Macaca mulatta: one gene and its partner. The protein of the gene in region 1 interacts with the protein of each later gene in a biochemical or structural test. Links are inferred from orthologs where the notes say so. Each region holds a gene or a part of one and is shown in the gene's direction. Other genes may lie near its edges.

Region 1 (3,678 bases):
AGCACCCTTCCCCATCCCCAGATTCATGGGACAACACTGCCTCTGTTGACTTGGAGGCTGCTGCCTAGCTGGATCGTAATGTGAAACGTAAAATCAAGAGAAATCAAGCTTAGAATATTAGAGCAGGAATGCATGCAAGATGTCACTTGATTCAGCCCTTTTACATTATAGAGGAGGCTCAGAGAGCACAGAATATTTTTCTGTCATACCATGTCGCCTCTCCGGGTACATTATGTGAGATATTGTCACATTTTTATTAACAGTACCAATATTAACAGCATGAAAAGTATAGGGAACAAAGAGTCCTTTGGCCAGCGTACCTTCTTTTCTATATCGATAAAAGAAGTCAAATCCCAAATACAAGATTGTAGCTAGGCATGAGACTCTTTAGAGCTTTATGGTCTTCCTGAGGGTTACCAGTGTTGCTTCTCCTCATGGTACTGATATGCATGATTCTAAGCATAAGGTTGCTTTCTTTTATCCTTGATGGATTTGAAACCTGCTGACCTATCTATCTTAATTGGCTTATCACACAGTCATCAGCACCACCAAACAGGGTCTGTGTGTTGAGTGCAACCTGTTGTATGTATGAAACAGTAGTGGCTGTTTAAGGATGGTAACATGGAAACTAAGGCATGATTTTCCCATTGATCTGCAGATTGAACAAGTGAGCCAGCTTTCTGCACTTGTGCAAGCTCAGCTGGAATACCACAAGCAGGCAGTCCAGATCCTGCAGCAAGTCACGGTCAGACTGGAAGAAAGGTATTCTACAGTTCCCTGCATTTCATATTTGCATTTCATTGCTATAAAATGATATATACAGAAATGGAAATCATAAAATACATTTGGAGACAAACATCTGCCAGAATTCCTGCTTATCCTAAACAGGCACCTTGTGGATTGTTTTGATTTTGTTTTTTCTTGTGCTTTGTTTGTTGAATCTAATTTTCTGTTTATGAGAGGTCGATACTTGGGTTGTATTTTGGTTGCCACAGGTGGGACACCAGGATGCTACTGCTGATAATGGATGCTGGATACATATCATTATCAATCTTATAACAGCCCTATAACCTAAGTATTTTTAGCCTCGACTAACAGATGAGTAAACTGAGGCTAAGAGAGGTGAAGTAACTAGCCCAGGGTCACTCAGTGGTACGAGTGGAGTTCACAGCCAACCATAACCTGTTTGAAAGGCTGTTTCTTTTCACATCTTGTGTTTCTCTGAATGGTGGTCAAGTCCACTGCCATCAGAGAGAGCCGCTTTCACCTTGTTCGATGTACCTCACAGCAGGGCTGTGGTAGTAGGAAACTACCATGTGAATGTGGCTCCGTGGAGTTGTGGGGCACAGCCTGTGTGGCTGTATACCAGTGGTCCTGTGTTATAATATAATATGTGTTATTTTAATTCAGCCAGATCAAACAGGGTGATTTTGCTGAACACGTATACCTCAAAGGGTCACCTCAGCAGGCTTTTTTCTTAGGCCACATGGCCAGATTAGACTCTCATAGCTGATCACGTGGCTGCCTGCATGATGAAGACCCCAATCATACGATTCCACGCCATTGAAAACATCACCTATTTTCATTGTTTTCCCTCAAGCTGATCTCATCTCAGCATCTTCTTAGATTCGTGGTCTAACTGAGCATTTTCCTTCAGCGCACCCTTGTGGAAACTTATGTAACGCTGAAGCCTCCAGAAAGGTTTTAAAACCATATACTTCAAAATACTAAAGAAATATTATGTGTCTTTGTAATGTCTCTTGAGCATGAAGGGAGCACTTTCCTTTCTTTCCTCTGAAACATGTTCAAAGTCAGTATCATTCTACGGTTACCATACCCTAAACCCTCACCCTCCCTTGCAAATCTCTTACATACTTTGTTTATTGAATACCTGAAACCATGGGAATTATTTAGGGGTGTGTAGAAGACAATTATTGGCCATACCTTTCCAATTTCCTTCTGTCTTCCCTCTTTCCTTTCCTCTTCCCTATATCTCAAACTGCTCATTCTTCTCACAGCACACAGTGTATTTCCTCCTTCCCTCTATCCAAATCTTCTCATGTTCTGAATGGAATAGCTCCCTTTCACATTTTCATCTGGAAACAACTCCTGTGTATCTTTTAGTTCTTTCCTTAAACCTCCTCCACCTTCCTTATGGAGAGGTAGACTCCTTCCCACCCTCACCCCCAACTACACCCCTGTGTTCCTGTGGCACTTTGTAGATATCTGTGACAGTGCTTACTAAAACTTATGGTCATCAGTTGTTTGTGTTCTGTCTCCCTTACAGACCATAATCTGTTTGCGTCTTTTTTAAAATTGAAAAAATTGTGGGTACATAGGTGTATATATTTATGGGATACATGAGGTGTTTTCATACAGGCATGCAGTGCATAAGAATATCATGGGGAATGTGGTATGCATCCCCTCAAGCATTTAGCTTTTGTGTACAAGAACTGTGTTTTAATTCATTTCTGTGTTCCTGGTACCTAGCACAGTGCATATTTGGATAAAGGACTCTGAATAAATGAGAGAGGAAGTCAGGGATTGAGAGAGAGAGTGAAGACAGTGAGGACATGGCCCCATAAAGGGGCATCACCAAAATCTCAGACATGCACACACAAGAAAACTAAGGGTCCTTGTTTGATTTCCCACACTTCATCATGGTAGCATGGTGGGTGACCCAAACATTTCCTGAATCTTTATATTTCCTTTTGTTTTTACTTAACTGGCCACATAACCTTTCCCACCTCTTTTCTTTTTCCTGCAGAATAAGACAGGCCTCAGCTCAGCCTAGAAGGGAATATCAACCTAAACCACGAATGAGCCTGGAGTTTCCAACTGGAGACAGTACTCAGCCCAATGGGGGCCTCTCCCACACAGGCACTCCCAAGCCTTCAGGTAAGGAGCTGAGACGGCAGATCCTATTGCATAGGCCTTGGCATATCCATTGGCACTCTTCCAGAAACTTTAGGAATAATCCAATCTGGCTGCATAGGAAATATGCAGTAATAGATTTCTTATGGAGTGGTTTGTCAGGTAGAAACTCTGTTAAAGGAATCCTTTTGTCTTTTTTCATTTACCTTTTCTTTCCTTCCTTTTAATTCTGTATAAAACTTTATTTGTATATCCCTTTCTCTCTCAATCAGCAGCACACATGAACACATTTTATTTTGACCCTCCTTTGTGGTCGTAAATTGCCTTTCCTTGTCAGTTTGGTCTGCGTGTGTCATCTTTTCTCCTTCCTGTTCCCTCTGAATCCAGCCTGTATGACAATGAATGCCCCTGGACAGTGTGTCCCCATATGCATTCACATAGAGCCCACAGACGGCAAGCGGCTCCAGAAATGTGCTGATGAGCTGGATTTCTTGAGTCACAGAAGCATATGGTTAAATATATTTGCAGAAGATATTTTGAAACTCGACACTTGCTGGGTTTTCTTTCCCGTGCCTCACCTCTGATCACTTTATCATGCTGTGGCACTGGGGTTGATATAATAAAAGCTAGATGATATTTTATCTCAGGAATATCGATGCATACCTAATAGAGCATTCTTTTCCTTGTCACGCTTGCTCTCCACTCCCTACGTGCAGATTACACAACAGCCTGTGCTGGAGACATTTTCAACCTCCACATTTGCTTGTTTGAAGTGGGAACTGTCTTATACTGGATGTGGATGTT
Region 2 (3,821 bases), on another chromosome or scaffold:
CTATACACATGTGCTACCACGCCTCGCTAATTTTTGTATATTTTTGTAGAGATGGGGTTTTGCCATGTTACCCAGGCTGGTCTCGAACTCTTGGGCTCAAGTGTTCCACCCACCTCAGCCTCCTGAAGTGTTGGAATTACAGGTGTGAGCCACTGCACCTGGCCTTGAGATTTTTTTTTTTTTTTTTTATTCAGAGTCTTGCTCTGTCGCCCAGGCTAGAGTGCAGTTGCATGATCTTGGCTCACCGCAACCTCCACCTGCTGGGTTCAAGCAATTCTCCTACGTCAGCCTCCCGAGTCCCTGGGACTATAGTCAGGCGCCACCATGCATGGCTAATTTTTTGTATTTTTAGTAGAGATGGGGTTTCACCATGCTGGCCAGGTGGCCTCGGACTCCTTACCTCATGATCCACCCGCCTCGGCCTCCCAAAATGATGGGATTACAGACTTGAGCCACCGTGCCCGGCCGAGATTTTTTTTCTTACCTGTCTTTGAATCTCAGCTTGTAGATTTCATCCGCCCCAAAGCTTTTTTCTGTCCCTGCACACACAGGCTGGATGTGATCCCTCCTTCCTCCAAATACTTAACGTTCCTCTTCGCAGCTGCCATGTGCATTCGCATCCTCTGTGTTGTTTCCGAGTAACATGTTATGACATAGTCTGTGAGTGCCTTGTGGGACAGGATACATCTCTATACTTGAATCTTGCCCATCTCCATGCCAGGTACACTTGGCTCACCTAGCTTTGCCCCTGCCCTGACTGCCTCTCCCCACAGGCTACATTGGCGTGGTGAACCGCAGCCAGAAGGATATTGAGGGCAAGAAGGACATCCGTGCAGCGCTGGCAGCTGAGAGGAAGTTCTTCCTCTCCCACCCGGCCTACCGGCACATGGCTGACCGCATGGGCACACCACATCTGCAGAAGACGCTGAATCAGGTACTGCAAGGGTTTGCAGAGTAGTGTGCAGTGGCGTAGGCTGTGCACTGCACAATAGCTGCAGTCCTCACTGGCACTTGTTTCAGGCTAGAGCAGCAGTTGTTTTAGCAAAATAGGTTCAGTCCACATTTATTTGTGCTGTAATAAATGTACTTGGCCAGGTGCAGTGGCTCATGCCTGTAATCCCAGCACTTTGGGAGGCCAAGGCAGGAGGATCACTTGAGCCTAGGAGTTCGAGACCAGTCTGGGCAACATATGGAGATCCTATCTCTAGGAAAAATAGAAAAAAATAGCTAAGCATGGTGGCATATGCCTGTAGTCCCAGGTACTCAGGAGGCTGAGGCAGGAGGATCACTTGAGCCTGGAAAATCAAGACTTCAGTGAGCTATGTTCATGCCACTGCATTCCAGCCTGGGCAATAGAGTGAGACCCTGTTTCAAAAAATTAAATAACTAAATAAAAGCAATGTACTTGATTTAGGGTCTGGTGAAAAGCAGATGTTCAGTGACTTGGTGCTGCTACTATTACAACCATCGCTGTTATTACCAATATTTTAATTACCATTGTAATTATTCAGTCATTTACCCAGAAGATTGTATGCATTGCGTGGTATTGGTGACGGGGTTTATAACGTTTTTATTTATTATTATTATTATTTTTTTTTTTTGGGGGGGAGACGGAGTCTCACTCCATCACCTAAGCTAGAGTGCAGTGGCATGATCTTGGCTCACTCCAACCTCCACCTCCCAGGTTCAAGCGATTCTCCTGCCTCAGCCTCCTGAGTAGCTGGGATTACAGGCATGTGCCACCACACCCGGCTAATTTTTGTATTTTTAGTAGAGATGGAGTTTCACCATGTTGGCCAGGCTGGTCTCAAACTCCTGAGCTCAAGTGATCCACCTGCGTCAGCTTCCCGAAGTGTTGAGATTACAAGCATGAGCCACCGTGCCTGGCCTATCGTTCTCTTCTTATAAGTAATATATTCACAGGGTGCATAAACAGAAATGGTATTAAAAGCTATACAGTGGGCCAGTGCGTGGTAGCAGGGGCAAGATGTTCCTCTGTGCTGTTTTCCAGCACCTTCCAGGATGGCAGCAGGGCCTCAGCAGCACTCCAGGAGTCATCTTTTCACGCACATATCGGGGCACGCAGTGTCCACACGAGAGCAGGTTCCTGTCCTTGTGGAAGGCATAATTCTAATGAGGGAGACTGACACCAAACAAACCACCAGAGAAATGCACGATCAAGAATCCAGTAGGGGCGGGGACCGGGAAAAGAGCCACCCAAAGAAGGCAGCTCAGGAGAGCAAAGAGGGAAGTCAGTGTCTAGAGGGAGGGGCCCACCAGGAGAGGAAGCTGGGGTCTGCCTGCAAACGGGAGTAGGGAGAGGAAGGGAAGTAAAACTCCACAGCTGGCTGGGTCCTCCTGAGAGCCAGCAGCGAAAAGCCCAGGTGGCCACCAGGGAGCCTGGAGGGGGCTCAGCCTCCTTTCGCGTGGGGTGCTTCCCAGAGCAGCAGTGCCCCTTCCTCTCCATTTGCTCACGGCTTCAGTGCAGTAGTATCCTGTCAGAGACCAAGGGAAGGCCAGCGTAGCTCCCTGCCTTTCTAGGCAGCCCACACAGACGGGGGTCCATGGCCGGGGCTGCAGGGCAGGGATCCCTGGTCAAGGAGATCTTTGGGGTACCCCACTGGCTCCATGCCATAGATGTGAGGTTCCTTCATGCCTCTTTTCTAGCTCACTGGACACTTTTTATTTTATTTTTATTTTTTTGATGAATTTTTTTTTTTTTTTTGAGATAGAGCCTCACTGTGTTGCCCGGGCTGGAGTGCAGTGGTGTGATCTCAGCTCACTCCAACCTCCACCTCCCAGGTTCAAGTGATTCTCGTGCCTCAGCCTCCCAAGTAGCTGGGATTACAGGTGTGCGCCACCACACTTAACTAACTTTTGTATTTTTAGCAGAGACAGGGTTTCATCACATTTGCCAGGCTGGTCTCCATCTCTTGATCTCAGGTGATCCGCCCGCCTCAGACTCCCAAAGTGCTGGAATTACAGGCATGAGCCACTGTACCCAGCCTGGCCTTTTTTATTTCTCACCCCCCGCCCCAAGATGGAGTCTCCCTCTCTCCCAGGCTGGAGTGCAGTGGCGCAATCTCAGCTCACTGCAAGCTCCGCCTCCCGGGTTCACGCCATTCTCCTGCCTCAGCCTCCTGAATAGCTGGGACTATAGTCACCTGCCACCATGCCCGGCTAATTTTTTTTTTTTTTTTTTTTTTTTTGTATTTTTAGTGGAGACAGGGTTTCACCACGTTAGCCAGGATGGTCTCGATCTCCTGACCTCGTGATCTGCCTGCCTTGGCCTCCCAAAGTGCTGGGATAACAGGCGTGAGCCACCACCCCCGGCCCATGCCCGGCCTTTTTGATGATTTTTCTCTGTTATCCAGGCTTTCTGATGCATTTTACTCTGTTGTCCAGGCTGGATTGCAGTGACACAAACACAGCTCATTGCATCCTCAGCCTCCTGTACTCAAGCGATCCTTTTGCCTTAGCCTCCTGAGTAGCTGGGACTATAGGCGTGTACTGCCACACTCAGCTAAGTTTTAAAAGGTTTTTATTTTTGGTAGAGAGAAGGTCTCACCATATTGCCTGGGTTGATCTCAAACTCCTATCCTCGAGTGATCTGTCTCAGCCTCCCCAAGTGCTGGGATTACAGGTGTGAGCCACTGCACCCAGCCTTGATGAACACTTTCTAAATTCTTCTCTATTGTGGGACAGATGGCAGAACTCTGCTTTACACTTTTCAAGTATAGGCTGATTTTATAGCTTTGTTTTTCTTTTTCTTTTCTTTTAAATTTTTAAATTAAAAAGAAATTTTTTTTTTGACAGTCTTG

The links.
Region 2: the proteins of SH3GL2 (region 1) and DNM2 interact in a biophysical measurement, tested with the Homo sapiens proteins (2 studies listed by BioGRID and IntAct, with this or other methods). The link is inferred for Macaca mulatta from reciprocal best matches to the Homo sapiens genes SH3GL2 and DNM2.

Annotation. Positions count from the first base shown.
Region 1 is NC_133420.1:81,360,261-81,363,938, reverse strand, and holds part of SH3GL2 (endophilin-A1), read left to right. Parts: intron 1-658; coding exon 659-762; intron 763-2,767; coding exon 2,768-2,898; intron 2,899-3,678. UniProt on the Homo sapiens protein: Implicated in synaptic vesicle endocytosis. May recruit other proteins to membranes with high curvature. Required for BDNF-dependent dendrite outgrowth.
Region 2 is NC_133424.1:11,521,140-11,524,960, forward strand, and holds part of DNM2 (dynamin-2), read left to right. Parts: intron 1-773; coding exon 774-934; intron 935-3,821. UniProt on the Homo sapiens protein: Catalyzes the hydrolysis of GTP and utilizes this energy to mediate vesicle scission at plasma membrane during endocytosis and filament remodeling at many actin structures during organization of the actin cytoskeleton.